Anolis sagrei: one gene and its partner. The protein of the gene in region 1 interacts with the protein of each later gene in a pairwise test. Links are inferred from orthologs where the notes say so. Each region holds a gene or a part of one and is shown on either strand. Other genes may lie near its edges.

Region 1 (15,605 bases):
AGGGGTGTCCTAGATAGTCCCATGGGGGTGGAATCACCTTGAAAGTTGGCTTGTGAAACAGCCAAAGCGGTGACATTGTCCCCTGGTAGTCTGTCCTGGGTGTAGGTAGGCAACGCCGACACAGGTAAAGATGAGGTTGGCACAGATGACACAGCACACACGTTAGAGTCATTCGAGGTCGATGCAAAGGATGCTCCGCAGGGAGGGGCTCTCCCCGGAGCCTGTTGACTGGAGGTGGGAGGTTGGGCAGCTGCGACCGACAGGCAAGCAGCTGGAGGTGGTAAGGCCCCCGTTGTCGCTGGAACTGTGAATGAAGGCATCGGCAGGGGAGGCGCGGGGGGTGCCGGGGCCTGCACAAACACCATTTGGCCCGAGGGGCCCATCTGCCAGAACCCGGGGCAGGGAGGAGGGACCATAGAAGGGCGATGCCACCGCGAGGGTCTGGAGGCCCGGGATCGCCTGCTCCTCCTCGAATAGGCTGAGGAGCAGGAGGAAGACGATGAGGAGGAGGTCGACGAGGAGCGCGAGCGCCTCGAAGCCGACCGACGCCAGCGGCGACGCGACCTCCCACTCCTCCTAGATGGAGACCTGGACCTCCTCGGTCTGGCGCTACGGCGGTGTTCCTGGTGGCGCGGCCAACTTTGGTCGGGAGGCGCCGGTACCGGCTCAGCAGAGGCTTCCTCTCCCGCGGGTTCGCCCCCTCCGGGAGCATCCACGGCATTTGGTTGAGCACGATCGGGACCAACCTCGGCTGCTTCGCCCGGTGTCGGGGGAGGCGGGGTTGTAAATATCCCCTCCAACAGGGAAGCCGGCAGAAGAGGCAGCGGCCCTGAGGCCATAGCAACAGCCCCCGCCGGATCAGGCGGCATCGGGGACTCTCGGGCCCGGCTAAGGGGCGGGGGCGAGACGACCGGCATCGCGGCGGTGGGAGGAGTCTGGCCCGCCTGCGCCATAGCGGGCGCATGCGCGGATAGAGGCGTCGACGTCGACGGAGCCGCGAAAGTACACTCGGCCGCCTGTAGAGGGAGCACGGCCCCAGGAGGGCCTTCCGGCGTCGGCGGCAACGTAGTTGGCCGGCGAGCATCCAGCACTCTTCCCGCTCTTTCTAAGGGAGGTCTTTCCTGAGCGGGAGCATGGCGGCCATCTTGAGCCTCCTTAGGCTTGGGCCTCTTGTCCTTCTTCTTGGCCGGGCCGGCCGAGGAAGCCAGGAAAGGTAGGTCCGAACGCTCGGTCGGTTGGACGGGGGCGGCGGGAGGCATGAGAGCCCTTTCATAGAGAGCCGCCCGAAGCCTGGACACCCTGTTCTTCCTCGTTTGAGGAGTAAAAGAGAGGCATATGGCGCAAGATTGCGTCAGATGGGCCTCTCCCAGGCAAGTAAGGCAAAGGGTGTGCCCATCGGTGTCCGGTAGGATGTTAGGGCATTTGGTACACTTCTTGAAGGAAGTGGTTGCCATAGCTCAATGCCGATTCCGGTCCGCGTCAGTAACGTTAGAGATCAGTCCAATTCAGATCTAACCAGAGGGTTTGGCAAAAGGATCGTCGAAAAGCAGTCCAGTGTCAAATGAGAGGGCTTGCCAGAAGAGTCGTCGAAGAACAGTCCAAGTCAAAAGGATCAATCTAGCAATGACAGAAGGTTCTCAAAGCTGCTTCACACGCGAGCGGATTAAGAGAACTGCCGGCTAGTCCCGCCCTCAGGCTATATATACTCGGGGGGGGGGGGGGGGGCGGGCCTAGCTGAGGGCTTAAAGTGTTCTGACTTTCTAGAAGGTTCCGTAAAGTTGTATTGCGCAAGCGCAGGGATACCAAATGTACGATTCACAGTGACTACGACAGGAAACCAAAACTTCCTCTTTTTAATGCAATCAGTGGAATGGAAAAGCCAAAATGCATATAATAGCCAAACACTGATCCAGTACCATATACTGACAGCAATTCTCCAGACTTATGGGCAAGTCTTTCTTAAATCTTCTTAGTGAAGACAATTTAATTACAAAGCCAGACTGAATATGGGCTCACATTACCTATAAATCTTGAGTCAAAACCCTTCCACAATCAGGGGAATCATTCCAATGTCCCTCCAGATGTTGTTTGAAAGCAACTCGAGGATCCTAACCAGCAAACCCACTTGGCTGGTGAGGAATTCTGAGAGTTGCAACAACATATGGGGGATGTCATGATTCCTCCCCTAGCCACAGTAAGTTGGAGAAGTAATAAAAGATTATTTAAAAAAACCAACTACAAAAGACAATTGTAAGAGCTTTACTGGCTGGGGAGGTACTTTATATCATCTTAGTACAGGTGTATTTGCCCTTTTCAGGCACGTGCAGCTTGTACAAACTATCAATAAGTGGATGTGTGGTACCATATTTTGCCACCAACGTTTGCAAATGTATGCAAACAGGTGTGTGAGATATCAAGAGTCTGTATGAGCCAACAGGCAATGACTCCTGCAACTTCGCACTGATGTAATCTGCTGTGATGTTTAATAACAGCAGCCTTGGAAGAGTCAGTGAGTAATGTCATCCGCCCTCAAAGGGAGTCACCTCCCAGCGACAAGGAGAAATGAGTCTGGCTTAACTCTGTGTCAAGTGCTGAGGCCTTTAGCACTAGGCTTTGCAGCAACTGGAGATAAATTCACAGAAGCTAAGCTAAAAGTTCCCTCAAAGCTGTATGAATCCTCTATATCAGTGGTTCTCCACCTGTGGGTCCCCAGGTGTTTTAGCCTACAACTCCCAGAAATCCCAGCTAGTTTACCAGCTGTTAGGAGTTCTGGGAGTTGAAGGCCAAAACATCTGGGGACCCACAGGTTGAGAACCAATGCTCTATATATTGGTCATGATTAATTCCTCCCTTCTAAATTTCATCCCATCTTCTTTCCTCCTTCTTGTTCCACCCATCACTATGAAGATGGAGCTTCCCTTACCATCATAATTTAGTCTGCCAACCATCTGAAAACAACCCCATAGCCTAATGACATGTTGGGGCAGCTCCAGAAATGAACCAGTCACCAAATTGTTCCACAGGTGTTCATCAAACTCCTACTTTCTCTTCACCCACCAACATAAAGATGGAGCTCTCCATAACAGAGTCATTGAGTCTGCTAACAATCTGGCAGTTTATGGAATGATGCCAGATAGGGGAACTTCAGAGTCTGATCCTTCACCAAATGACTTTCATAAATATTCACCAAACTCCTAATTTCTCCACCATCATGAAGATGGAACGTCCCATACCACCATAATTTAATTTACCATCTTCCTGACAGTAATCTTATGTCACGATGACATACAGAATCACTTCCAGGGACAAATCTTTCACCAAATGTGTCCCATAGGTGTTCACCAAACTCACACCATAATTTAGTCTGCCAATCATTTGACAGTAACCCAGGGGCATGATGACATGTAGGAGCAGTTCCAGAGACAAAACCTTCACCAAATGAATTCCTCCTAGTTTCTTTACAACCATCATCACAAAGATGGAGCTCCCCATTCCACCATAATTTAGTTTGCCAGCTCTCTGGTAGCAACCCAATGGCATGATGACATTCAGAGGCATCTCCAGGAATAAATCCTTCACCAAATGGGTTCTATAGGTGTTCACCAAATTCCTACTTTCTTTCAACCCACCACCACGAAAATGGAGCTCTCTCATGCTACCATAATTTAGTTTGCACATACTGCAGGTTAAGTATCCCTTATGCTTAGGATCAGAAGTGTTTCAGATTTCTGATTCTGGAACACCTGTATTTGAACATATATACACAAGGAGATATCTTGGAAATGAGATCCAAGTCTAAACATGAAAATCAGTTATGTTTAACCCAGGGGCATGATGGCATGTAGGAACAGCTTCAGATCCTTCATCAAATGAGTGCCACAGGATTTCACCAAATTCCTACTTTCTGTTACCTCCCCTTCCACCAAAAGATTGTTTCTGCTTAGTCCTTATCCCGCACCAGGCTGATCAAAAGGGCCCCCACTCCAGTTGCAAATCTCCAAGAGTATATGGTTCAAATGCTGCCTGCTCAATAGAGACCCTGTCTTTGAAACGCAGTCTACCCTCCATAAGAATGAATTCTGCATCCACAGATTCCACCATCCACAGCTTGAAATATTTTTTAAAAATCCAAAAAAGTAAACTTCAATTGTGCCATTTTATAAAAGGGATAAAAGGACTTGAACATCCATGGATTTTGAGGTCCTACAAGGTGGGTCAAAACTCACAAAGAGGTTTTGAAACTTGATAACTCCTTTTTTATGTTTAATTTGCAATACCATAGTGTTGTATATAGGCAGTCCCAGAGTTACAAGCATCTAACAAAAGACTCATAGTCAAGAACAAGAGTGCCACAACAGGAAGTGAGAGAAATCTACTCCTCGGAAGGGAAATTAAGTCCTGAGAGAGTTATCATGGGGCATCTCCACTGGAGCGTTATCCCCAATCCTTGTTTCCACAAGTCATTTTTTCCAAAATCCAATTATCAAAGGGACAGAAAGTGAGTTGGATTCTTCTGAACAAGGGCACAAGCAGGAAAACAAACCCAACAGGGGTGTTAACCCTTTCCTGTACTATTCAAAGCTTGCATATATATCTCTCTCCAGACAAAGATAGATAGACAGACAGACAGACAGACAGACAGACAGATATAGATAGCTCTCAACCTGTAGGCCACAGCCCAGCTGTGGGCTGTGAGAACGAAAATCCGGTTTGCAAACTTTCTTTCTTTTTTTATTTGGTTTTATTTTTTTATTTCTGCTCATTTCCTCAGAGTCAACCAACCTTTTGGTACTAATGTTCCAAAGTGGTCCCTGGTCAAAGTGGGCCCTGGTTAAAGTGGGCCCTGGTCAAGTGGTCACTGTTCAAAGTGTGCCCTGGTTAAAGTAGTCACTGTTCAAAGTGGTCACTGTTCAAAGTGTGCCCTGGTCAAAGTGGTAACTGTCCAAAATGGGCCCTGGTCAAAGTTGTCCCTGGTCAAAGTGGGCTCTGGTCAAGTGGTCCCTGGACAAAGCGGTCCCTGGACAAAGTGGTCCCTGGACAAAGTGGGCCTGGTCAAAGTGGACCCTGACCAAAGTGCGCCTTGGTCAAAACAAAGGTTGGGAGCCACTGATATATAGCATAGGGAAGGGTTAACACCCATGTGGTGGTGGTTTTGCTCTATATGGGGCTGGATTTAAACTTTATAATGTGTCTGTTCCGACTTACATGCACATTCAACTTAAGAACAAATCTTGTTCGTAACTTGGGACTGTCTGTACAGTATTTATAGGCATCACAATCACATTACATTATGTGTAAAAAAAAATCTTGTCAAAAATTCGTTAAAAACCAGGGGCCTTTGTGAATGTTGGCCCTCCCTGCAGAACCAAACCCCAGTGGAGACATTCAGGGGGAAGTGGCCCAATCCAACACGAGTAGTCGGGGCCTAGATTTCCCCCACACCATCCCCAGTGGCCCCCTTGGCTTTGCCTGGAGAGACCCTCTCTCTGGAGGGAGGGAGGCCTAAGCCTTCCTCCTCATCCGAGGCCTGAGGGCAGGAGGAGGCCGGCAGGGGCGCGGGCTCCACGTTGTGCATGGAAGGGGAGGCGAGGCAGTGGGAGAGGCGAAGGCCAGGCGGCCCCAGGCGGCAGAGGGGGCGCGACCCTGCTCTGCTGCTGCTGCTGCCCGAGCCCGGCTCCAGGAAGTAGTAGTGCCTCCTCCTCCTCCTCCTCCTCCCCAGGCTGCTGCTCTTGCTGTGGCTTCTCCCGCTTGACCTCTGGCACCGACCCCCGCCCGGCCCCTTACCCTCTGCAAAATCCGCCTAAACATGGTGGCGGCGGCGGCGGAAGTGGCGGCGGCTCCTCCTCAGCGCGGGCCCCTCGGCGCCCTGGCCCGCACAGCCCTTCACCCGCCTGCCTGCCTGCCTCCCAGGCCCGGCCCAACTCGCTCCGTCGCCGCCTGACAGCCGAGGGTGGCGCTGCCTGCCAGGGCCCGGGCGGGGGACGGAGCGAGGGAGGGAGCGAGGGAAGCACCTCCTCCCAGGGCCGCGCTGCGCAAGATGGAGGCGGAGCGTCCCTCCTTGGGCCCGAAAGGGAAGCCGGCCGAGCCTCAGCTCAAGGAGTGCCAGGAGGCCTCTTCTCAGGAAAGGAGGCCGGCGGTTTCCCCTCAGCCACAGGAAGGGGGGTGGCTTGTCAAAGGAAGAAACAGCTCTCCTTCCTTCTCTTCTTTCCTCCTTCCTTTTTTCTTTCCCCTTCCCTCCTTTCCTCCTTCTCCTCCCTTCCCTTCTTCCCTCTTTCTTTCTTTCTTTCTTTCTTCCCCCCTCCCTTCCTCCCTCCTTCCTTGCTTCCATCTTCCTTCCTCCTCCCTCCCTCCCTCCTTCCTTCTTTCTTCCCCACTCCTTTCTTCCTTCCTTTCGTTCCTCCTTCCTTTCTTTCCCCCTCCCTCCCCCTTCTTTCTTCCTTCTCTCTCTTTCCTTCCCTTCTTTCCTCTTTCTTTCTTCCTTCCTCTTTCCCCTCCTTCTTTCCCCCTCCCTCCTTCCTTTCTTCCATCTTCCTTCCTCCTCCCTCTCTCATTCCTTTATTCTTCCCCACACTCCCTCATTCCTTCCTTCCCATTTTTCCTCCTTCCTTCTTTCTTTCCCCCTCCCTCCCCATCTTTCTTCCTTCTCTATCCTCCGTTCCCTTCTTTCCTTCCCCTCCTTCCTTCCTTTCTTTAACTTTCCCCCCTCCTTCCATCCCCCTCCCTCCTTCCTTGCTTCTATCTTCCTTCTTCCTCCCTCTCTCATTCCTTCCTTTTTTCTTCCCCACACTCCCTCCTTCCTTACTTCCCTTTTTTCCTCCTTCTTTCTTTCCCCCTCCCTCCCCCATCTTTCTTCCTTCTCTCTCCTCCCTCCCTTCCTTCCTTCCTTCCTTTCTTCCTTTCTTTCTTCCCCCTCCTTCCTCCTTCCTTCCTCTCCTTCCCCTTCCCTCCTTCCCCTTCCCTCCTTCCTTGCTTCGATCTTCCTTCTTCTTCCCTCTCTCATTCCTTCCTTATTTCTTCCCCGCTCCCTTCCTTCTCCCTCCATCCTTCCCTTCTTTCCTCCTTCTTTCTTTCCCCCTCCCTCCTTCCTGCGTTTTTTTCTTTTCCTTCCTTCCTGTATCCCTTCTTTTCTTCCCCCTCCATCATTCTTCCTTCCTCCTCCCTTCCTTCTTCCCCACTCCTTACTCCCTCCTTCCCATCTTTCCTTCCCCCTGCCTCACTCTGTCTTTCCTTGTAACTTCCTTTCTCTCTTTCCCCCTCCCTCCCTCCATTCTGCCTTCCTTCTTCCTTCCCCCTCCCCATCTTCCTTCTTTCTTCCCCTTCCCTCTCGCTTTCATTCTTCCTTTCTCTTTTCCCTTCTACTTCCTTCCTGCCTTCCTTCTTCCTTCCCCCTCTTTCCCTCCTTCTTTGCTTCCTTTTTTTCTTCCCCCTCACTCTCACCTTCCTTCCTTCTTTCTTCCCCTCTTCCTTTCTCCTTCCCCCTCCCTCCTTCTTCCTTTTTTCTTCCACCTCCCTCTCTTTCATTCTTCTTCCTTTCCCCTTCTCCCTCCTTCCTGCCTTCCTTCTTCCTTCCCCCTCTTTCCCTCCTTCTTTGCTTCCTTCTTTCTTCTCCCTCATTCCTCCCTTCTTTCCTTCTTCCTTACTTCTTTTTTCCTTTCTCATCCCGCCTTTCAGCCTTTATTCTTCTCCCTCCCCCATCTTCCTTCATGTATTCCTTCCTTTCCTTCTTCCCCCTTCCTGCCTTCCTTCTTTCTTCCCCCTCCTTTCCTCCTGTCTTTCTTCAGTCTGTCTATCTTTCTTCCCATTTCCTGTTTCCATAGCTTGCAGCTTGCCCAATGAGGAAATGCATTCCACAATCTCTCCCAGGTTGTGATTTGAAAGTCAACAGGGCTCCGAGGCATGTGCACTCCTCCAGCTCTGACCTCAGTAGAGTTTGTACAGGTTGACCATCACTTACGCTTGGGACTGGAGGCATTTTGGATTTAGGGGATTTTTCAGAACTTGGAGTGCATCTATACTGTGGAATATGTTATATATGAACATAAACAAATTTCATGGTTAGTCTTTGGTCTTATTTCCGAGATATCTCATTTTGTACATATATGCAAATATAGATTTTCCTAGAGTGCATCTACTCTGCAATTTGACATCATTTAAACTGCCATGACTCAATGCTATAAATTTATGAGAGGTGTAATTTTACAAGATCTTTAGTTTTCTCTACCCAAGAATGATGGCACCTCACTAAACTTCAACTCCCATGATTCCAACAGAATTGAGTTATGGCAGTTAAAGAAAAATATTGTAAATAGTTTTGTACATGGTATAAAGTCTGTGTACACTGAAGTATTAGAAAACAAAGATATTACTCAGCCACTTACGTGGGGAAAAAATGAGATTAGGAATGTTCAATCTGTTGTTAATATTATCTAGGGCTCAAAATCAGCACACATCACAAAACAACACAACACACCCATCCCTCCACACTTCAACAACACATAGAACCACATTAATGTTTTAATTGTTAGAGTCATTTGCTTTCAAAGCAAATCATGAGATTTACAGAAAAAGTCATAGGATTACACCTTTGGGGTGACATTTCACTGTTGACTCCTTCGTGAGTGCTCTTTTGGTCCTTTTAAGGTTGTCTTCTCCCATTTTCCCACTTTCACTGTTTCCTGAATATCCCATAATATGATTGTTGGCTAAGAATGTCTAATATATCTGGAAATTGTCAATTTATGAAAGCTTGTCCTGAAGCAGGAGATTCCATCCTGTAATTTCTTGGCTGATCCAGGATTTTTCTCTTTTTCTTCAAACATGTAGTGATAACTCACCTTTCAGTTTCCTTGTTTGTTTAAGGTGAATGAAGAATAAGTGGTGTTGAAAAGTAAATAATGAAGTGAAAAGGTGCTGATCCACTCAAGTGCAGTAATTAGGGACTGACCACAAAAAATCAGTTCATGAATCAAGGTTAGAAAAATAAGATATGTTTCTAGTGCCTTAAAACATATAATAATTAGAAGGAGGAGAAGTACTGATTCTTGCAGTCCAGGATCAAGTAATCAGAACAAATGCAATCAAGGCCAGGATCAAAAATCAGCTGATCCAAAATGCAGACTGTGCAAGGATGAAACCATTGATTATAACCTCAGCTGCTGCAAGAAAATCGCACAAACAGACTACAAACAAAGGCACAACTATGTGGCCCAAATGATTCATTGGAACTTATGCCACAAGAACGACCTGCCAGTAGTAAAGAACTGGTGGGATCATAAACTCGCAAAGGTAGTGGAATATGAACATGCAAAAATACTGTGGGACTTTCAAATTTAGACTGACAAAGTTTTGGAACATAATACACCAGACCTCGTGATTGTGGGGGGGGGGGGGGGGGGAGTTTGGATTATTGATGTTGCCATACCAGGTGACAATCAAATTGACAAACAACAACAGGAAAAACTCAGCCATTATCAGAACTTCAAAATCGAACTGCAAATGCTCTGGCATAAACCAGTACAGGTGGTCCCATTGGTAATCGGCACACTGAGTGCCGTGCCAAAAGATCTCAGCCGGCATTTGGAAACAATAAACATTGACAAAATCATGATCTGTGAACTGCAAAAGGCCACCTTACATGGATCTGCGCACATCATTCAAAAATGCATCACAGAGCCCTAGACACTTGGGAAGTGTTCAGCTTGTAATTTTGTGATACGAAACCCAGCATATATATCTTGTTTACTGTGACATACTGTGTTTTTGTGTCAGTAAAATAAGAAGAGGAGGAGGAGGAGGAGGAGGAGGAAGATGACACTTAGGAAGTGTCCGACGTGTAATCCAATACAACAGCCAGCAGAGTGATCTTGGCTGCTGTGGACTCATCTTGTTGTGTTTCTAATAATAATAATAATAATAATAATAATAATAATAATAATAATAATAATAATAATAATAGATACAGCTTAATGGTGTAACATTGGAAAATGTTGACCATTTCCGCTACCTTGGCAGTCACCTCTCTACCAAAGTCAACATCGACACCGAAATACAACACCGCCTGAGTTCGGCAAGTGCAGCATTTTTCCGAATGGAGCAGAGAGTGTTTGAGGACCAGGACATCCGTAGGGATACCAAGGTGCTTGTTTATAAAGCTATTGTCCTCCCAACCCTGCTATATGCCTGCGAAACGTGGACAGTCTACAGATGTCACATGCAGCTCCTGGAACGATTCCATCAGTGCTGCTTCCGGAAAATCCTGCAAATCTCTTGGGAAGACAGGCGGACAAACGTCAGCTTGCTGAAAGAAGCGATGGTCCTCCACCATCAAATCCGCTGGACTGGCCACGTTGTCCGGATGCCCAACCACTGTCTCCCAAAGCAGTTGCTCTTCTTCGAACTCAAGAACGGAAAACGGAATGTTGGTGGACAGGAAAAGAGATTTAAAGATGGGCTCAAAGCCAACCTTAAAAACTCTGGCATAGACACTGAGAACTGGGAAGCCCTGGCCCTTGAGCGCTCCAGCTAGAAGTCAGCTGTGACCAGTGCTGCAGAATTTGAAGAGGCACGAATGGTGAAAGAGAGAAACGTGCCAAGGGGAAGGCGCGTCAAGCCAACTCCTTCCACCTGGAAATCAATGCCCTCGCTGCGGAAGAAGATGCAGATCAAGAATAGAGCTCCACAGCCACCTACAGACTCACAAGAATTCTGATCCTGGAAGACTATCCTACTCGGCTGACAAGGGATCACCTAAGAAAAGAATAATAATAAGTGGGAAGTGTTCGACTTGTGATTTTTTGATACGAAATCCAGCATATAGATCTCGTTTGCTGTGACATACTCTGCTTTTATGTCAGTAAAATAATAATAATAATAATAATAATAATAATAATAATAATAATATATTAGAGCATTCTACACAACAGTTTTGCTATTTGCTCTCTCTCTGCACTCACAATCAAGAAATGCTGTTCTCAGAAAGCAGTGGTAAGAGCATTCAAGATTTAGGATCCCAAATTTAGTCTGATGAAACTTCCAGCTTAAAAGATCACTTATTAAATAAGATCCTTCTCTGCATGTATCATATTTTAAAATGTATTTAAGCGTTTGAATGTGGCACTTTAAAACAGATGTCTATCACTTTAAAAAGTGATGTCTGTTTCCATTTTACATGGTTGCAGAAAAGTAACTCAAAGTCTGCTAAATGTGTTTTAAACTTCAAGTTCCACTAAAGCAGGGTTTGTGAGAGAGGAGAGAGATATATAGAAGCTAAGAGATGAGAAAATGAGAAAGTAATTAACATAAACTTTCCACTTAATTATCAAAATATGCAGCAGTGAGTGGATACTAAAAATAGAGGACTACAAAGAGGTGCATTGAAGCTCACCCCCAAACAACCATGTACAAAATCAGAACACAACATCAATACAATTAGAGAAGGAGGAGAATGAAATATTCTCCCGGCCCATCCACTTGTCATCCAGAACCCCCCCCTCCCCCCCCCCCGCCCCAACAGCTTCCATATAGTTGGAGGGGGGCACCCAGCCTTCAATCCAAAACACAATATCTTCCCCCACATTGCATTTTTATATTCCAGACAGGGACTTACCATTTCTCTTCCTTTCCACTCACTTGCTTATAAAATCTGCAGCAGGTCAATTAGAAAAACTAGTCAGTCAGTACAAAGCCATGTGTTGCAGTTCCTCCAATTTTAATCCTTCTCCTGAGACCCTCGTGTTATATCTGGCAGAGGGCGAGCTGCCCTACTCCAACTAATTCTAACATTATGATATCTAATTTGTTTAAGAGTAGGAATAACTGCAGTGTACTCATGCACTCTGGAGTTGAGCCATGTTGGTATGAGGGAAAGCAAATGATGCAGCAAATTAATTTAAGCTTCCCCCCCCCCCCCCCTTGCCACATTCATCAGGGATCACAGAAAAAAGATAGATTGGAAAAGGAATGGGAGCAGGACTGAAACTGTCCATTTTTAATTACCAAATAAGTCTTGAGTGCCTCATAAAACAACTAAAATAAATGTAAGAGCCTAATCTGTGTATTCAGCATCTTTTGTTCCACAGTGCCCAACCATATGGGAAGCCCAAACACAGTTACGCTCAAGGATGTACCTTAAATTAGAAGACATCATGTAGTCTCAAGATAATGTAAGAAGTGTTGTTGTTATTAACTGTTGTCAAGTTTAGTTTGATTTTTGGCAACCCTGTGAATGAGAAACCTTTAAGTCAACTGGCTATCAATAGTCCTGCAGACTAGGGCTGTGGCTTCCAACATTGAATCCATCTATCTGGAATATCGTCTTTCTCTTTTCTTACTGCCTAAAATACAAACATTGTATTTTATAGCGAGTCATATTTTCTCATAATAAGGCCAAAGTTCAACAGTCTCAATTTAGTCATTGTGGATTTTAAAGAGAGTTGGTTTTTTTCTCTGTTGTTGTTCATTCGTTCAGTTGTTTCTGACTCTCCGTGGCCTCATGGACCAGCCCACACCAGAGCGCCCTGTCAGCCGTCACCACCCCCAGCTCCTTCAAGGTCAATCCAGTCACTTCAAGGATCCCATCCATCCATCTTGCCCTTGGTCACCCCCTCTTCCTTTTTCCTTCCATTTCCCCAGCATCATTGTCTTCTCTAAGCTTTCCTTTCTTCTCATGATGTGGCCAAGGTACTTCATCTTTGCCTCTACTATCCTTCCTCCAATGAGCAGGCGGACTTTATTTCCTGAAGGATGGACTGGTTGGGTCTTCTCGCAGTCCAAGGCACTCTCAGAACTTTCCTCCAGCACCACAGTTCAAAAGCATCTATCTTCCTTCGCTCAGCCTTCCCTATGGTCCAGCTTTCACATCAGTAGGTGACTATGGGGAATACCATTGCTTTAACTATGCGGATCTTCGTTGCCAGTGTGATGTCTCTACTCTTCACTATTTTATCGAGATTGGACATTGCTCTCCTCCCAAGAAATAAGTGTCTCCTAATTTCCTGACTGCAGTCTTTATCTGCAGTCATCTTTGCATCTAAAAATACAAAGTCTGTCACTGCCTCCACATTTTCTCCCTCTATTTCCCAGTTCCCAATCATTCTTGTTGCCATAATCTTGTTGTTGTTTTTTTAATGTTTAGCTGCAACCCAGCTTTTGGGTTTTTTCTCTAGGACTCACTTATTTGTTTTTTTTTTTTTTAGTAGGCCACAGTATCCTTAGATCTTTTCTCCAGCAGCACATTTTAAATAAGTTGATTTTCTTTCTATAAACTTTCTTCATAGTCCATCTTACCCAACCATACATAGAAATAGGAACCATTTATAAGGTTACTGAAAATTAACCAAAGCTGAAAAATGAAATTCTCATGTCAAATTCTGTTAAAGTCAAACAACAAAAAGATGATAGCACAGGGAAATGTGATGTTATCAGAAATATGGTAAATCGGTTGCTCCACATCTGAACATGTGCTGGTACAGCTGTACCAGGAGCTCCAATTTTGTTTGCTTTGAATTGAGTGTTTGTTGTAGTCCTAAGTTTCAGGGACTCTGCAGATAGGTGGCTTCTTTTGGCTGCAATCATAGGGCAAGCCACCTGTCAATTATAGTTAGGTTCCCTGGTCCCACCCCCTTTGGGTTTTTGGTGGGAATAGGAGCCTTTTTGAGTTCAGTCCACACAGAGAAGCCTTTCGCACAGGACATAAAACCAAGAGCTCCTGTAGAAAGCTTCGTCTTCTACGGCTTGGCCGGGGAGATATACAGCTTACGGCTTGGCCGGGGAGAAAAGGCCCCACAGCTTGGCTGAGGATTTTACAGCCTTACAGCTCCTTTGATGAAGGACTTCAGCCAGCCATCACTGAAACCTGAACTCCTTCTTTTCCCCCTGGAAGTCTACAAAGCTCTGCTTGGTAAGGGTCACTCGCGGAAGCCAGACGCAGTTGGTACTGGGTGCAGGGGCTCCACGCCAACAGAGGCAAGTACAGACTGCCCAGATTAGAAGTTAAGGATTTCCCCATTAGTTAATTACAGTTAAGAAGATAGTGCCTGTTCCCAGTGAACAAGATTGCAAGAGCCAATAGACTGTTAAGAAAGCTTGAAAGTACCTGTTTGTTTTCCTTAATAAAGAACATTGTTGAACCTTTAAGCAATCTAAAGACTCTGTTTGGGGGAATCCAAGGGCCTTTAATCTGAGGCAGCCCCGGCGTCCCATTGGGCACACAGAATTTATGTCCTGTCTACAGTCTTATGCACAGGCCCAGCGTGCGACAGCACAGAACACAATCAGAAAATCACACTGGGGAAGAAATGTACTTGATGGTAGAATAAATGCTTTGCAAGCTGATCATCATAGATTCAATCACTTCCATTCTTAAAAGCTAGGAGAGGCCACAGCAGTTTGATTTTGCCTGAGTTTACTGGGAAGAGCAAGATTCATCTCCCCTCACCCAGAAGCGACTTGCAGTATGCAACCAACCAAACCCACATGTGAGAATACCTATTCATGCCTTTTTACACTTGGCTGGCACTGTTGGTGAGATGTAGTAAAGGCCAGTGGGGAGTAGACAGTTCAATGCAGCACAATATGATTGATAACAGCTATCCCTTCCTGTACGTTTGACTGCCAAATCTAGTATTTTGCAACATGGCAGGCACTGCTTATTCTCTGTCACACCTTTAAAAATCAGGTATTTGAATAATCAACACATCATTCACAACCATTCCCCCTGTAAACTAGGAAGTGGGAAGAGAAATGGAGGCAAAAGTAATATACCTACATTTGAGATAGGATAAACTTTTTACTCTTATGACCTATCACAATCTCTTGGGACATGCAGCATTTATGACAGGAATTGGCAGCTCTTCTTGTGATTGACACACATGGCAGATTTCTGGCTTCACTGCGAAGACATCTGGTACCATACATAATTATAGACACTGTGCCCTTCTCCACAGACCTCTACATCCTCTTAACACCTGCATCAGCCAAGTCCTCATGTGCTTTCAAAACTCTTCTTCTTCAGTGTATTTGCCCTCACAAATAATCTATGCCATGAACTCATTTCTTCCTGTGTCCATACCAGGCTCCTTTTCTCCTTGAAGTATAAAACTGGGACTCAACAATCATGTCCACAATTAATTCAATATGATTAAGAGAAATTATTTCTGGGATGTTCCTTCTCCTTTATTGTTTTCTGCTTTAAAAACTTTATCTCCCTTTGGTCACTGTCACTGCTTACATCAGTACTGAGCGAAATGCAGCCAAGTCCTAAAACTAGATAGGGTGGTATACACTATAAACAACATATTCCTTGGTACAAGCAATTTTCAAATTGTGTAGCTCATTATCATATTTCTTCTTACCAGGAACACAATTTGGATTTTCTTTCTCAGACATTTAACTAGGAAATCTTCAGTGGGGAAACTTTGGTACAGCATATTTATTTATTATTAACTAGCTTGGAGTCCCGGTGCTGCCCGGGTTTTTGAGAAAGGAATTGTGTATCAAGGTTGGTCTTTATCAGTTACTTATATGGCTCGCAGTGGTCTCAGGAAGTTAGTGAACGTACTGCGAGTGCCATCATCTTTTCTCCATCCTCCTCCAAACTGCACCAGGAT
Region 2 (14,720 bases), on another chromosome or scaffold:
AGCACATTGGAGGCGAGTTGTTCTGTTTGACTGGGATCTGTTTGCACCAATTCAAGGATAAACCTGAAAGAAGTGAGATTACATGTTTACCCATCCTATTGTTCTACTCTTGAAGGGAGTGCCTTTTAATGCTGGCAGAGCAAGATGGGAAGCTGACATTTGCCAGGAATATTACATCAGGGTCAGAGAACAAGAGGCAGTTTAGATATCTGGCTTGATTTTTCCAAGGGGCAAAGACCTCACTAAATTAAATGTCTTCCCTTGACAGATTATTTAATTAGATTATGGCACAAAAGACAGTTAAATGAACCACAAAAGTAATCTTTCAGAGAGAGTATGTCTGTCACCCTATCAGCAATGTACACTTTATACTGAGATCTGTGATAGCAGTCAGGATATCCTTGTGTTAGGGTGCCTATCAAGCGCTGTCCCAGAACGCTTTTAAAGGACTAACATTTTTCTCAACAGCACTGACTTATTCTACGGGTTCTGTAGAATAAATAAATACTGTATCTTCAACTGTCACATATCTGGTCTTCATATTTTAAACAGAGATCTAGTGGCTTTCATCAGTTTAATAAAGGATTGAAATATGCACCAAGACAATAGCCATACAAAGCACACTGCTACTAAATTCTTACAATTTGACACTCTGTGTTGAATCACCATTCAATACTGATTGAATGGGTCTACACAGGTTGGGGCTAAATAACAGGATGCCACTCTATGGTATACATCTGTGACAGTGAAGCAGAACTGAAACTCTTCCAGAGAAGGATGATATCATTGGCAGTAATCAAGAACCCTCATTTTTGCCTTGGAATATATTAATTCATTTGCACGTGTCTGCCCCACACCAACTCTCCTCTAACTGCTCAAAGAACAAAACCAAGTGGCTTAAACAAAATATGTGAAGGCGCACACATTAGCATGCAGTACAAAATGCATAGGCTTGACAACTTGGAATCTTTTTCTGATAAAATGGAAGGATAGAAGACATACTCATAATCTTAACATGCACCCTATATACTCATGTATAAGTCTAGAAATTATAGTCAAAAAACCAACCCAAAAAACCTGAGTTGGTGTATCTATGAGTCAATATGAGTGTACTTGACTTTACATCTCATTGAAAAAAAGGAATGATTCCCTTCTCTGAGAACAGTGGTGAAAGGTAAGAGCTTAGTCCATCCTGGGAGAACCTAAGAGCTGAACTGATCTCTACTCTCTGTGCCGTGGTGCCAATTCTGGAATTTTGAGTACTTCATCCTGAGACAGAATTGGTGCTTTCCCCTTTCTGTGGAATGACCCTCAACTTATCTACAGGGCATATATATATATACACACACACACACACACCCATGAATTTGGCCCCAAAACCCACCCTTGACTTTTACATGAAGTCAACTTATGCATAAGTATATATGGTAAGTACAAGCTCATATATGTGAGCAAAGCAAAAGAAAATACATATGTGTTCTTCCTTCCATCAAACACCTATACTTTCTGAACAAAGTTCAAGATTGGTTTGATCTGCAATCAATTGAGATATTCGATAATTTACAACACATCAGGTTTCTGCTACTGCTCTTGACTCTGAAATGCCTTCCTGCAATCTTCCAGGAAAAAACACTGGCGTACTGGTTGTGATCAAAACCCTAAATATATTTAAGCACTGCACACCCTTGAAATTACCTTGTACTTAATATTTTCAACTCTGATCAATAGAGACCATTTAACAGCATGATCTGAGCACAATGTCTGAATAAAATATTAAGGCAAGGGTTACTCTATATTTATGGATTTCCCTCCACCTGAAGATCAGAGCAAAGGTTTGAATATATTTCAGAAGCAACATTGTATCTTTAGGTGTGGAGTCTATTTGGGGACCTGGGTTAAAATCTATAGTATTATTTGGTGCTTTGCATCTCCAAAGTGAGTCAGATTATTGTAAACTTAAATATAACATATACATGTTAGTTCATTACTTAAGAAGAACAAGGTACTACAAAGCATTCTAGATTTTAGTATTTCAGTGAGCTTCTTTCACATATTGCTTGAGCACTTTTCAAGCAGATTAAGGACAAAGGACACCAGTTTCAAGGCAGTGCAAGGCAGGAAGTGGACTGGCTGTTTCATATGGGTCAGCTAGCAGGAACAGCAACAAATCCCTGTATTGCTAAGTGGCCAAAGAAACTGCTGTGCTGGATCAGACCAAAGGTCAGCCTTACATTCTGCTTTCAAATTCAAGCAGCTGGGAGTCAGAACATGAAGATAATAAACACCCTCTGCCACCTGGTACTTGGTTAAGAGATAACCTTCTCCAACAAACCCAAAGGTGCTCTTTTAAGGCTTTTGGGAATTCTCTTGTCTTCCACTGCAGTCAAATTACCAAAATTACCAGCAACACTTGGAATTGGATTTTTCCTCAAAAAGAAAATAGGAACCCTTTCAATTTCTAGGTTGAAAGAAATTTACAATCACCAATACAAATCTTGTATATAGGATGACAGAAATGTGTGACAATTTAAATGTTGTTATGCCCTACTAATGGGACATTTTTAGAAAAATAAGATTACTAAAAACAGATAATCCTTGATTTGTTATATCTAATACATGTATTACTTTTTCTAGCTACATACACTCATGGAGGACAGCCAGCCTAAGCAAACAACACTGTTAGTGCCACTTTACAAAGAACTTTGTTGAATAAATACTGGAAATAAATATTTAAGAAATGACAGGAGAAAACGGAGTGCAAAATAAAGACTACACATTCCAATTATTATTTTAGTGGAGGCAAAAGACACATAGGCACCTAACAGCCAGAAAAATAGATGTAAAAATAAATATTACTAGAAAGAAATCAAACAAACATTCAGTACTTTGCTTAATAATGGCACACTATTATGCAAGTTCTGACAAAATACTATTGAGAAATTATGCTTTCAGCTCTTTATACCAACACTACTTCACATTAGTTTGACTGTTCTAAACAGTTCTGTAATCTCAATAAGATTCTGCAATGAAGTTTAACTTTTTTACTGGGGGCGAGGGTGGGATATAATGCTATACAGAATGTCTTATCCTCTTAAGATAACATCACACTTAAGCTAAACAATCTAGCCACATCAACTACAAAATCATGCAAGAAATGTTGAAATTGGCTGTCATTTAGCAAGCAAAGGTAAATTGGTAACAGTAGCAAGGAATAATAACAGAGGGAGAAGCAACTTCTTTCAGAAGATTAGGGGAAAGTCTCCACAAGTAAACAATATAAGGCTTATCATTTGCTATGCTGCAGACTGGACAAGAGATTCTAGGACAAACCCACACTGAATGACTTCATAACTCTTTGCAATCTAATCCGAATGATTCACATCCTTTCTTTTCTTTGCAGTCCTACAAATGGTTCAGTATCAGATTCCAAACCTGAGTAACAGCAAAGGGAAACCCATGGAGGAAAAAAACCACTGAATCTAAAAAAACAACCACTCCAATAAAATAGCCCATGGAACATACCAGTGACTTATCCAACTAGTCTGAACATAAGATGGACTGCACAGTTTACTTTTTAAAACAATTCAGCACTGATAACTTCAAACCACCAGGCTCTGTGGTGCTTTATGAGAAAAGGATATATGTTAAGTATTTGCAACTAGCCATCTCTGTCTTGATATTCCTGAACAACAAAAGAATGTAATTTTTTCTTCACTGTTTCTCTGGGCAACTTGCCCACACCAATGCATTTTTAATAGAGACAGGCTGTAAAAAGAACAGATTATAAGCGCCTTAAAGCAGGAAAAGATCCATGAATCCCTAATGTGCCCATCTCTATAACATTCATGAGATAAATACCAGTATTAGTGAAAGCATCAGACATGCCCAACCAGAATTCTGGCATCAGACATGACCAACCAGAACTCAAAGGTTCTCTATGAAAGCTGTTTGCACTGTGGGTGACTTTGCTTTAAAAATCAGACAATAGCCTGAAATACTTTCCTTCTCCCAAGGACCCATTTTTATAGAGAGAAACCATCATGATTTATTAGAGTGCTCAATGGTGAAAAGGGGCACTTCAGTGCTGCGGGAAAGCACAAAGGTTTCCAAAGTAACAAAATATGGACAGTCCAAAGAACTAGCAGCTTCAACAGGTCAAACAACTCAACTGTAAAGAAACTAGGGCAGCAGCAAGCTCTACTACCCAGGTGCTGTGTAGCGTCCCACCTTCATTATGCAAGAAGCAGGTCTTGTGGCTTTGATGTGACTCCTCTACAACTATGTTACCAGGTCAGGATTTCGGGAACAAAAAACAGACTTTGGTTGCTACCGCACTGTAGGATCAATGCATTTTGACACCACTTTAACCTTCATGGCTCCTGCTCTGGAATCCTGTGATTTGTTGTTTATTGCGGTACGAAGGCCCTTTGGCAGAGAAGGTTAAAGACCTTGCAAAACTACAACTGCTAGGATTCCATAGCAAAGAAACATGGCAGTAAAAAGTGGTGACAAAATGTATTAATTCTACAGTGTAAATCAGGCACCCTTAAACTGCAGCCCTCCAGCTGTTTCGGTCTCCAACTCCGAGAAGTCCTAGCCAGCTTCATCAATGGTCAGGAATTCTGAGAGTGGAGGCCCAAATAGCTGGAGGGCCACAGTGTGATGATACCTAGTGTAGATGTATTTTTCAGCTAGTACACTGACTACAGAAATATATCCTGCTGTAGTCTTTGATCCAAGGCTATGGTTCCCAACCTTTGCGCTGTCAAGTGTTTAGCACTTCAATTTCCAGGAACCCCAGTCAACTTGGGAAACTGTCAGGATTTTGGGGAATTGAAGTCCAAAACCCCTGGAGAACTAAAGGGTGGGAACCATGAACATCTGGCAAGGTTTCTCAGCAGCCTAAATCTAAAAGCATTGCTACCAAGAGTGTGATTAACACATACAGGCTGCTGTGGCTACCTGGCACCCAGGGAGTGCTCCCAAAGGCTATGGCACTCCGGCACTTTTGTTTCCACATCATTCAACCAAACCACAGTTTGCCCCCACAGAAAGCAAGGCGCAAAGCTGAGAACTACACAGATGTGGAACGCAACCTCTCCAACCTCCTTCCACCCCTCTATGGCCCCTTCCATACATTGGAATCAAACCCCACATTTTCTGCTTTGAACTGGAATATATGGCAGTGTGGACTGAAGGTCCCTTCCATACATCCATGTAACCCAGACTATCAAGGCAGAAAATCCCACAATATCTATCTGGGACATCTGAGTCCACACTGCTATATATTCCAGTTCAAGCAGAAAATGTGAGATTTTATTCAGCTGTGTGGAAGGGTCCTCTAACTCCGGTCCTCCAAAATCTTACTCCAGTACTCAGACCACTATAGCATGCATTATCTACTCAGGGGCCTTCCACAATGCCCTATAACCCAGATTATCAAGGCGGAAAATCCCACAATATCTGCTTTGAATCTGGGTTATCTGAATCCACACTCAGAGAATGTGGGATTTCCTGCCTTGATATACTGGGATAAAGGGTTGTGTGGAAGGGCCCTGGGCTATATGAGTCCACACTGCCATATATCTCAGTTCAAAGCAGAAAATGTGGCATTTTATACAGCTGTGTGGAAGGGGCCTCAGATAGCCCAGTTCAAAGCCGATATTGTGGGATTTTCTGCCTTGATATTCTGGGATATAGGGCTGTGTGGAAGGGTCCTATCTCTAATTAACACAAAACCCGCCTCTATTCAACCTAATTCCAAGGCTGAGAGACCCCTCACACCGGCCCCGTGGCCCGAGGGTGCTTGCCGGGCCTTTCCTCCTTGCCTAGCCCCCTTCCGCCATTTCCTCGCTCCCACCCAGCCCTAGCCAAGCGCCCACCCTTCCTGGCTCGGGGAAGGAGGGCCTACCCCAAGCTGCTGCCGCCGCCGCCGCCCGCTCTGAGGGGCCTCCTTCCTTCCTTCCTTCCCGCCCGCCCCTCTCCGCTCCAAGGCCCCGGCTTCTCCTCCTCCTCCTCCCCCGCAGCCCCCTCCCGATCGCCTAGGCAACCAAGCCCCCCTCCCACCCCTCGAGGGCTACCTGGGACGGCTCCGACTGCCCCCCTCCGCGGGCCCCGACTGCCTCGCACACAAACAAACTCCCTCAACCAAACCCACCTCTGCACGCGGAGGCGGCGCTGGAGCGCGTCCCCGGCCAATGGGCGCAAGGCACCTGGGGCACGGACACGCCCTCCCGGCCAATCGCCTTTGAGGAAACCGCGCCCTGGCCCCGTCCGGCTAATTGGGGCTCCGCGAAGGGAAGAATGGGCAGGAGCGGTCTCGCCAATGGCAGGAAGGAGGCGGGAGAGCCAATTAGAAAGCACCTCGCGGGGAAGGAAGGGAGGGCATTTGCTTAAACGACGAGGGAGCCCACCAGTAGGAAGGCGGCTTCATAAACAACACATAAGGTGACCTAAAGGGGGCGGGACCATGGAGCCGCTAAAACCAATTAGAACTCTAGAATTCAGTTCTCGCTGTCCATTCCCAGGCCGGAGGCCCTCGAGGTCGGGGGAGGGAGAGTGATTGACAGAGGAGCTGGTGGGCGCGGCTCGAACTTTTTTACCCAATCAGGGAGCGCGCTGTCACGCACGCCCAATGAGAAGTGACCTCGGATTTGAGTGGCAGCATTTTGCTCCTTAGAAAAAGGGTGCCTAGGAGGCGCCTAACCCTTGACCTCTTTGGGTCCCTTATAATCAGGAGAAGATCTTGGAGTCCGGAAGTATATCTAACTGGGGAGCCGTGCTCTCGGTGGAGAAACGCTTCAGTGGTCAGTGCAGGTTGGGCCCCCTTCCTGGGATCAGGCGTGTTTGGGATTTCAGATTGTTTCATATTTTGTACTTGCATGTATTTATTTATTTACGACATTTATATGCCGCCCTTCTCACCCTGAAGGGAACTCAGAACGGCTTGCAAGATATTTGTCTATATACAATATATTATATTATTAGCATAGTACAATATCAGTATTATATATTACGATATTGTACTATCTATATAAATAAAAATGTAATGTTCGTTTGTGGGGTTAACATAACTCAAAAATCACTGGACGAATTGACACCAGATTTGGACACTACACCCTTAACAGACCAACGAGTGACCGTCACTCATAACCGCCGCCGCCCCCCACCCACCCAAATAGTGGAAAGGACTTAAAAACCCCAAAAAGGTAAATGATGAAAAGCTAAATGACGATACAGAAAAAAAGGGAGAGAAGGAAGGGGAGAAAGAAAGGAAGAAAGAAAAAGGAAAGAGAGGAAGGGAAGAGAGAAGGAAGCATGGAAGCAAAGGATGAAGGAAGGAAAGAATGACGACCTTATGTAATTATATGATTGTATTTTAATGTGTTAGGGTATTATGGGATGTGATGTTTTAAAATATTGTTTATGAATCTTCTGTTGTGAACTGGACTGAATCCCTCTGCGGAGGTCGAGAAGACCGGTATATAAAAGTTCTAAATAAATAAATAAAAAGTAGAGAAGGAAGAAAGGAGAGAAAGAGAAAGGAAACGAAAAAGGGGGAAAGAAAGAAGGACAGAAAAAAAAGGAAAGGAAGGAAAGAGGGAGTGAAGGAAGGAAAGAAGCAGAAAAAGAGAGAAGGAAAGAGAGGGAAGTGAAAAGCAAAGGAAGGAATGAGGTAGAGAAGAAAGGTAGAGAAGGAAAGGACAGAAAAAAGGAAAGAAAGAGGGAGCGAAGGAAGGAGGGAAAGAAGCATAAAAAAGAGGGAGAGAAGGGAAGAGAAAAGGAAGGATGGAGGCAAAGAGCTAAGGAAGGAAAGGTAGAGAAGGAAGAAAGGAGAGAAATAGGAAGGAAAATAAAAAGGGGGAAGGAAAGAAAGAGGTAGAGAAGGAAGGAGAAAAGGAAAGAAATAAGGAAAGAAGGAGGGAAGGAAGGAGAGAAAGAGGGAGGAAAGGTTGGTCACAGCAACGCATGGTGGGTACAGCTAGTATCTTTCTATATAAATAAAAATGTAATGTTCATTTGTGGGATTAACATAACTCAAAAAACACTGGACAAATTGACATCAAATTTGGACACAATGCACATATCAGGCCAATGAGTGGCCATCACTCATAAAAACACTGAAAAACACAGCAGAAGAGACTTAAAAAATAAAAAATGAATTACAATGCACGTGCATAACCACATATATATACACAAACACACATATGTACACATATACACAAATATATACACACACAAAACACATATATACAGACTGGGCCACAGCAACAAGTGGCAGGGGACAACTAGTACCATTATATTGTAATATTATTAGTAACAGTACATGTAATATAAATATCTTATTATTAGTAGTAGTATTATATTGCATTGCATTACAATATTATTAATATTATATGTATATGCAATGTATTATATTACATTATATATTATTAGAATAGCACAGGAGACAAGGTGGAATTGTCCCCTGGCCCCCTCTCTCTTCACTCTGGCCCAGAGCAGCAGATATCTTGGAGATGGGGCCCAAGTCTAGACACACACTCCATTGGTGTTTCATATACATCTTATGCACATAGCCTGAAGGAAATCTGTCAAAATACGTATGACTGAACATAAAATATAATAGGACAAATTATCCATAAGATAATAGAACATTTAAACATAAAGTATAAAAATTATAAACACCTGATAAAAATCACATGATCCAAACTGGTAGATCGAGGCATTCCAAATGTCGATTACACATATTCCATATACAATATAATACAATTCCATATTCAAGTTACACATATTCCATATGCAACATAATACAATTCCATAACACAAACAGAGGTAAAGACAGTTTTCTCATCACATTTCCAGCATCTTGGAGCTGTGTTCAACTCTGGTGAAGAAGGGTGTTGCTGTCTTCCATGCCGAGGAGCTTTCCTCCGATGTCCTTAAGGGCATCTTTATTCTCTCCCCCCTAAAAGCGGTACCTATTATATCTACACGCATTTCTGCTTTCAACCTGCTAGGTGGGCACGTGAGCTGGGTCTAATGGCGGGTGCTCACACTGACCTGGGCTCAAACAGCTGACCTTCTGATCTGCAATATTTTTATGCAGCACAGCAGTTTAGCCTGCTGCTCTAAGCCCGCCCCCTGATAAGTTCAACCCATCAGCAATGCGTCCGACATTTTGATATACGTTTTATGCACTGCTTTTCTTGATTAGCAGATGGACATTATGCTTCTCAAAATGAATTACTATCTGAACCATGCATCCTCAAACTACAGCCCTCCAGCTGTTTGGGCCTCCAGTTTCCAGAAGCCCTCATTGGCCTGTTCAATGCTCATGAATAACTGACTGAACCTGTTTTAACTCATTTGGCAATTTGAGTGAGGGAGCTGCATTCACAAGCCAAATCACTACCTTGCTGAAATCAATTCTCACTTTGTCTTGTAGTAATAGCTGTTACTTTTATCACACTGAATCCTAATAAACGCAAACAGGAAATCTGTAGTCCAAACTATTGTCTACTCATGGCAAGGATGGGAACCTTCAGCTCTTCAGAAGTTTTTAGGATGCCATCAGTCGCAGTTAATATGATCAATGATCAGGCACCCATTTTAATCTTTCAAACCTCCATTTCTCATTTCTTGACAATGAAATTCTTGGTAATAATTGATCAGAAAGACACAAAGAGAATTCAGGTACATATAAATGCTCTATATGCTGCTTACAGTTTCTGTAGCTATAGGACACTTACTATCAATTTAAACACTTGAAGATAGCATCCAATAATGAAGTACATGTTCTGCAGTTGGGTTAATATCACATCGCTGCTGTATGTGTTGTGCCTTGGAAGTAAATGCCCTTTTGGAGCTTTTTAGGAATGGTCCTAGCACTAAAGAACACCTCTGATGTGCAAAAGCTTTCAAGTTCAGTTCAGCTTGACAAGACAAAAGATTCTGGTCTGAAATCCTGGAAAGCTGCTATTAGTGTAGTAAGTATTGACCTAGGCTGGCTGCTCATTTGACTTCATATAAGGCAGCTATGTAAAGAATATGAGTTTAACATATAGAACCGCTTCCACATGGGCCTATAGGTAACTAGCAGTATGGAGGTAATTCATTGGTTCTCAATAAACTGGCTCCCATATTTTCACCACTTAAGATTTATATGGTTTGCAGGACTTGTGTGGTTCAGCTTTCTCTATTTCTTTGGGTCCACAGACTCACGAATCGAGTGTATCCCTGATAGGCTGCAGTGTAGATACAAGTGTGCAATAAATCAGTTTTGTTTGAAGAGAACTAATATTAATAGCACAAAACGGTTCTACCTCGAGAGATGCTCACAGTAATCAGTGGTACTCAACCTGTGGGTCCCCAGATGTTTTGGCCTTCAACTCCCAGAAATCCTAACAGCTGATAAACTGGTTGGGATTTCTGGGAGTTGAAGACCAAACCACCCATGGGCCCACAGGTTGACAACCACTGCAGTAGATGAAGAGCTCAGATTTCATTACATCATCCAATCGGAAAAATACTCAAGAAATGCTCCTTTAAAACTACAAAATACTTTTAATTATGCATAAACAGGTGTTAGTTAAAAATCAAGTCTTACAAAGATCTACAGACAAAAATATTTTTTCTTTAAAAAGTCCACATTGAAAAAATGCCAAGGTGCTTAGACTTACAAGCTTTTTACAAATCAGAAATTCATCAGCCTTATAAATATATCTATTACTTCCAACCAAAAGATCAAGAGAAGAAAAAAAGAAATGTATCCAAATATTGTATATAGCAGTGGAGTCAGCGTTTATGATGAGCATTTTGCTGATTCATTTTGGAATTTACACTTCTATAACAAGCATTCCCATGTTAGCCCAACTGATGTGAAATGCCCCCAACTCTCTCAAGTGAAGACCACTGCATGTCACCTGTATTTTTCAAGATATACAGTTATAGATTATATAATAATCTGTTTCAGTAATTCTGTTGCTGAGTTTGAGTTGAGGACAATTGAACCTTACTTTCCTTAGGACACTTCTTTTTTTGATAGAATATATGTCACCCAAAATAGAATTTTACAAAATAAAGAGCCCACCCCCTCCCCCCAGCTCTCATAATGCTGCTGGTGATAGATTGATCCAAATATCTAGAGGGTAACATTTCAAAATCTATCATAGATAAGGCAAAAACATTGGGTTTGTTCATGTTATTGGATTGACTAAGGTTTCAATGCTTAATATTGCATTGAGACAAAACCTTAATGTTGTAGGCATGTCTTCAAAACTAACAAAAAGGGTACCTATAGCTCTTCACCAATGAAAATATAATAATTACTTCTTTTGACAGTATATAAACCATTTTATGGAATTTGCCTGATAAATCCATGGGTTTAGCTAATTTTCCCCTTAGACATAAACATCATTGTTTTTATTATATCTCAAGTCCTTTGAAACCATGCAGTGTGTTTCACTGAAAGAACCCCAAATGCTTTACTTCCTTCAAACCAAAATTGGCATAGTGATAGAAACTGTTTCCAGACATCCATCTTTGTGCAGGGCAGCACAGGTTACAAATGTGATGACATTTTCAGTAAGATACACATCAGTAGTAGAGAGACAGAACTCTCTACTCCTGCAAGCCAAGGCAGATTTGCTCCAGTTGTAGGTATTTGGAAGAGATCTTTGAGATCAACGACAGTTGAGCACAAGACACCATTGGAGAAAGGCACCTTTGCAGAGAGCATGGCCTGATGAAGTTTGTAACCATATCTATTGCATTAATGTTTAATGGGCTATAAGCATATAGACAGAGACAAATAATACATGTACAGGAGTAGGATGTGGAAGGATGAGTGGAACAGTGATAGTATGTACCCATTTGCCCAATAAACACTAGTACATCAGAAAAGTCAAGAATGTCTAGTGACATGGCAAGCAGTCCTTTAGATGGTTAGCAAGACATTCTGAGTTCCCAGAGTGTGAGCTTCATGAGCCCCAAGGCACGTTAATTTTGATTTTGTAGAATCATTGGCCAGAGTAAAATATTTTCCTGTTCACAATAAGTGGAGAGTTAAGTGCACAATTTTCTTCTGAAGGTCTGGAAGGAAAAAGAGGGCAAGGTTCTGCTAGCACCGGAATGCACTTGACAGAATGCCAGGCAGGCACCATAGTTGAAGTCAATATCCTGATATGAATAAGAAAAATGGTTTCTTGCTGGCAGCAACATTTTCTCAAAGAAAAGCACAGCTGAGTTCTATATTGAAGATGAAACCAGAGGGTCGGCCAAGACAGAAGATGCTCTGCGAGAAGAGCAAGAGGTGAGGGTTTCTTCCACAAAATGAGTCCTTGAAGCAGGTGGCTCTGGAGGCCCTTCCCTCGTGTCACAAGGCTCCCTGGAAGCACCCAGTCTTCAGCTAGTGCTTTCAAATATACCTCAGAGTATAAACTATTAAAGTGTAGACTCTGTGCCAAGAGGAACCATAGCATGCCATTCAAGATTAAGTTGAAAAGTTAAGTGCAAGCAACCAGTGCAGTCCAAAGAAGCAGCATTGCTCCTGATTCTTACAGGCGGAGGTGCGGCACAGCTTTTGTGACATCCCGGAAGAAGGGGTGGCTGAGAGCTGTCTTGGCTGAGATTCTCTTGTTAGGATCATAATGCAGCATTTGCTAAAGGGGAAAGGAAGATGAGTTATAATAACTGGCAGGAAACCCCACCCACCCCCAAATAGGATAAATCAATCACCTCCCTCTTCCAGACAAGAGCTGTGCCTCTCAGAACAAAGATATGATTCTATATCCAAATCAAGAGATGGGACAAAAACAAGACTACCAAGAAAAAATAATGATCCAAGAAACCTATCCCTTAGTTCTTTCTCTCTTGATGTCTTCTCTTCTCGCTTATACCATCCCTCTATCCACTCTGTTTTGTTCTCACCCCTTTCTCCTCCACCAGCCGCTTTTAAATAATATAATCAAGGTAAGATAGTTGCAGACAGGAAGGCATGTGTTATATACCTGATCAATGAAACCGCAGATGCCACAAATTGTTTTTTTAGGATCCTTGGCTCCGCTTGCAAAGTCAATCTTCTACAATTGATCTTTGCAGACTACATTTCTTGACTGAAAGTGGAGCAACAAAAGGGTGCCACCATTATCTTACACAGAAAAAATGTTCTGCTAAAGCTATTTGATAACGCTTAAGATAGCAGCCAGACTATTCTTTAGCCAGCCAAGGCTAAATTGATTGCATGGATTTTTAATCAATGACTATTGCTATATTTTTTTTTGTCAATTGTATATGTCTGGTTTTAAATATGCCATTGTATTTTAATGTTCATATACTGTATTTTATATGTGGCGTGGCATTATGTGTGCTATTTGTAAGCCACCCGAGCCCCTATGGGAGATGGTGGCGGGGTATAAATAAAAGATTATTATTATTATTATTATTATTATTATTTGAAGAATGAGTGAAGTATACAGGTAGAAATGCAAATAAAAATAAACGATTGTAAAATAAGAACCCATGGTTGGAACAGTCTTCCTTAACCTGATAATTCCCAGATGTACTAAATTACCACCATTCTCAGAAAACAATGCCATTATGGACTTTGTAGTCCATGTGGGAGGAAATCCAGGTTGAAAGGAAACTACTACAAAAGAGCAAAAAGACGCCTTTTGAAGGAGCCAGTTACAAAAGTGCTCCACCAGTGACAACGGGCATGCCATTCTCTATAATTTCCATCGTGTGGCACTACACTAATGGTTTAATCAAGGAGATAATATAACTGAACCAACCAAACAAGTTCAATCTTTAGTGTTCACAACAGCTAATATATTTTCAGCCCTGATGTTCTAAATGTTCTACTCAGTGCTGGCATTAAGAAAAAGGATTCAAACTTCAGAACATGCTACAAGGGCCAGGACTCTCAGTGAACGGAACAGATTCTGAAAGCTGTGATAAGTTTCTCCCAGGTTCTGTCCCGATCTCTAGGAAAGGGACACTTGAATGCGGATAAAATATGTAATCTTATAAAAGCAGCAGACTTTTTCTCAAATCTTACCACAGGAAACTACCATATATACTCGAGTATAAGCCGAGGCATCTAATTTTACCACAAAAACTGGGGAAAAGGATTGACTCAAGTTTAAGCTGAGAGTAGGAAATGCAGCAGCTACTGGTAAATTTCTCTCTCTCTCTCTCTCTCTCTCTCTCTCTATATATATATATATCAATAAAATTACATTAAATGAGGCTTTTGAAAGTTCAATGTTTTTGAATATTTATAGAAAACTGTAATTTAAGATAAGACTGGGTTGTTGTAGGTTTTTTCGGTCTATATGGCCATGTTCTAGAGGCATTTTCTCCTGACGTTTCGCCTGCATCTATGGCAAGCATCCTCAGAGTTAGTGAGGTCTGTTGGAACTAAGAAAAAGGGTTTCTGTATCTGTGGAATGACCAGGGTGGGACAAAGGACTCTTGTCTGTTGGAGCTAGGTGTCATCCGTAAACCAGATCAACAATTGGGTCACACCATCTACAGAAAACCCACACACACACAGATAGACATCTACATGAAAACTCCAACCATCACCCAAGTCAAAAAAGAAGCAGCATTAAAGCCTTGGCAGACCATGCAAAAAGAATCTGCAAACCCCACCTCCTCCAAGATGAACTGAACCACATAAACTGGGCTCTACAGGCCAATGGATACTCCACCTCAGACAT

Evidence for each region.
Region 2: the proteins of EEA1 (region 1) and RAB5B interact in binary tests that used the Homo sapiens proteins (3 or more experiments, as listed by UniProt). The link is inferred for Anolis sagrei from reciprocal best matches to the Homo sapiens genes EEA1 and RAB5B.

What each region holds. Positions count from the first base shown.
Region 1 is NC_090025.1:154,440,383-154,455,987, forward strand, and holds the start of EEA1 (early endosome antigen 1), read right to left. Parts: upstream 5,989-15,605; 5' UTR 5,809-5,988; coding exon 5,785-5,808; intron 1-5,784. UniProt on the Homo sapiens protein: Binds phospholipid vesicles containing phosphatidylinositol 3-phosphate and participates in endosomal trafficking.
Region 2 is NC_090022.1:146,514,535-146,529,254, reverse strand, and holds the start of RAB5B (ras-related protein Rab-5B), read right to left. Parts: upstream 6,229-14,720; 5' UTR 6,158-6,228; exon of another isoform or gene 6,081-6,157; intron 1-6,080. Other genes in the region: CDK2 (cyclin-dependent kinase 2), read right to left, coding at 12,555-12,659. UniProt on the Homo sapiens protein: The small GTPases Rab are key regulators of intracellular membrane trafficking, from the formation of transport vesicles to their fusion with membranes.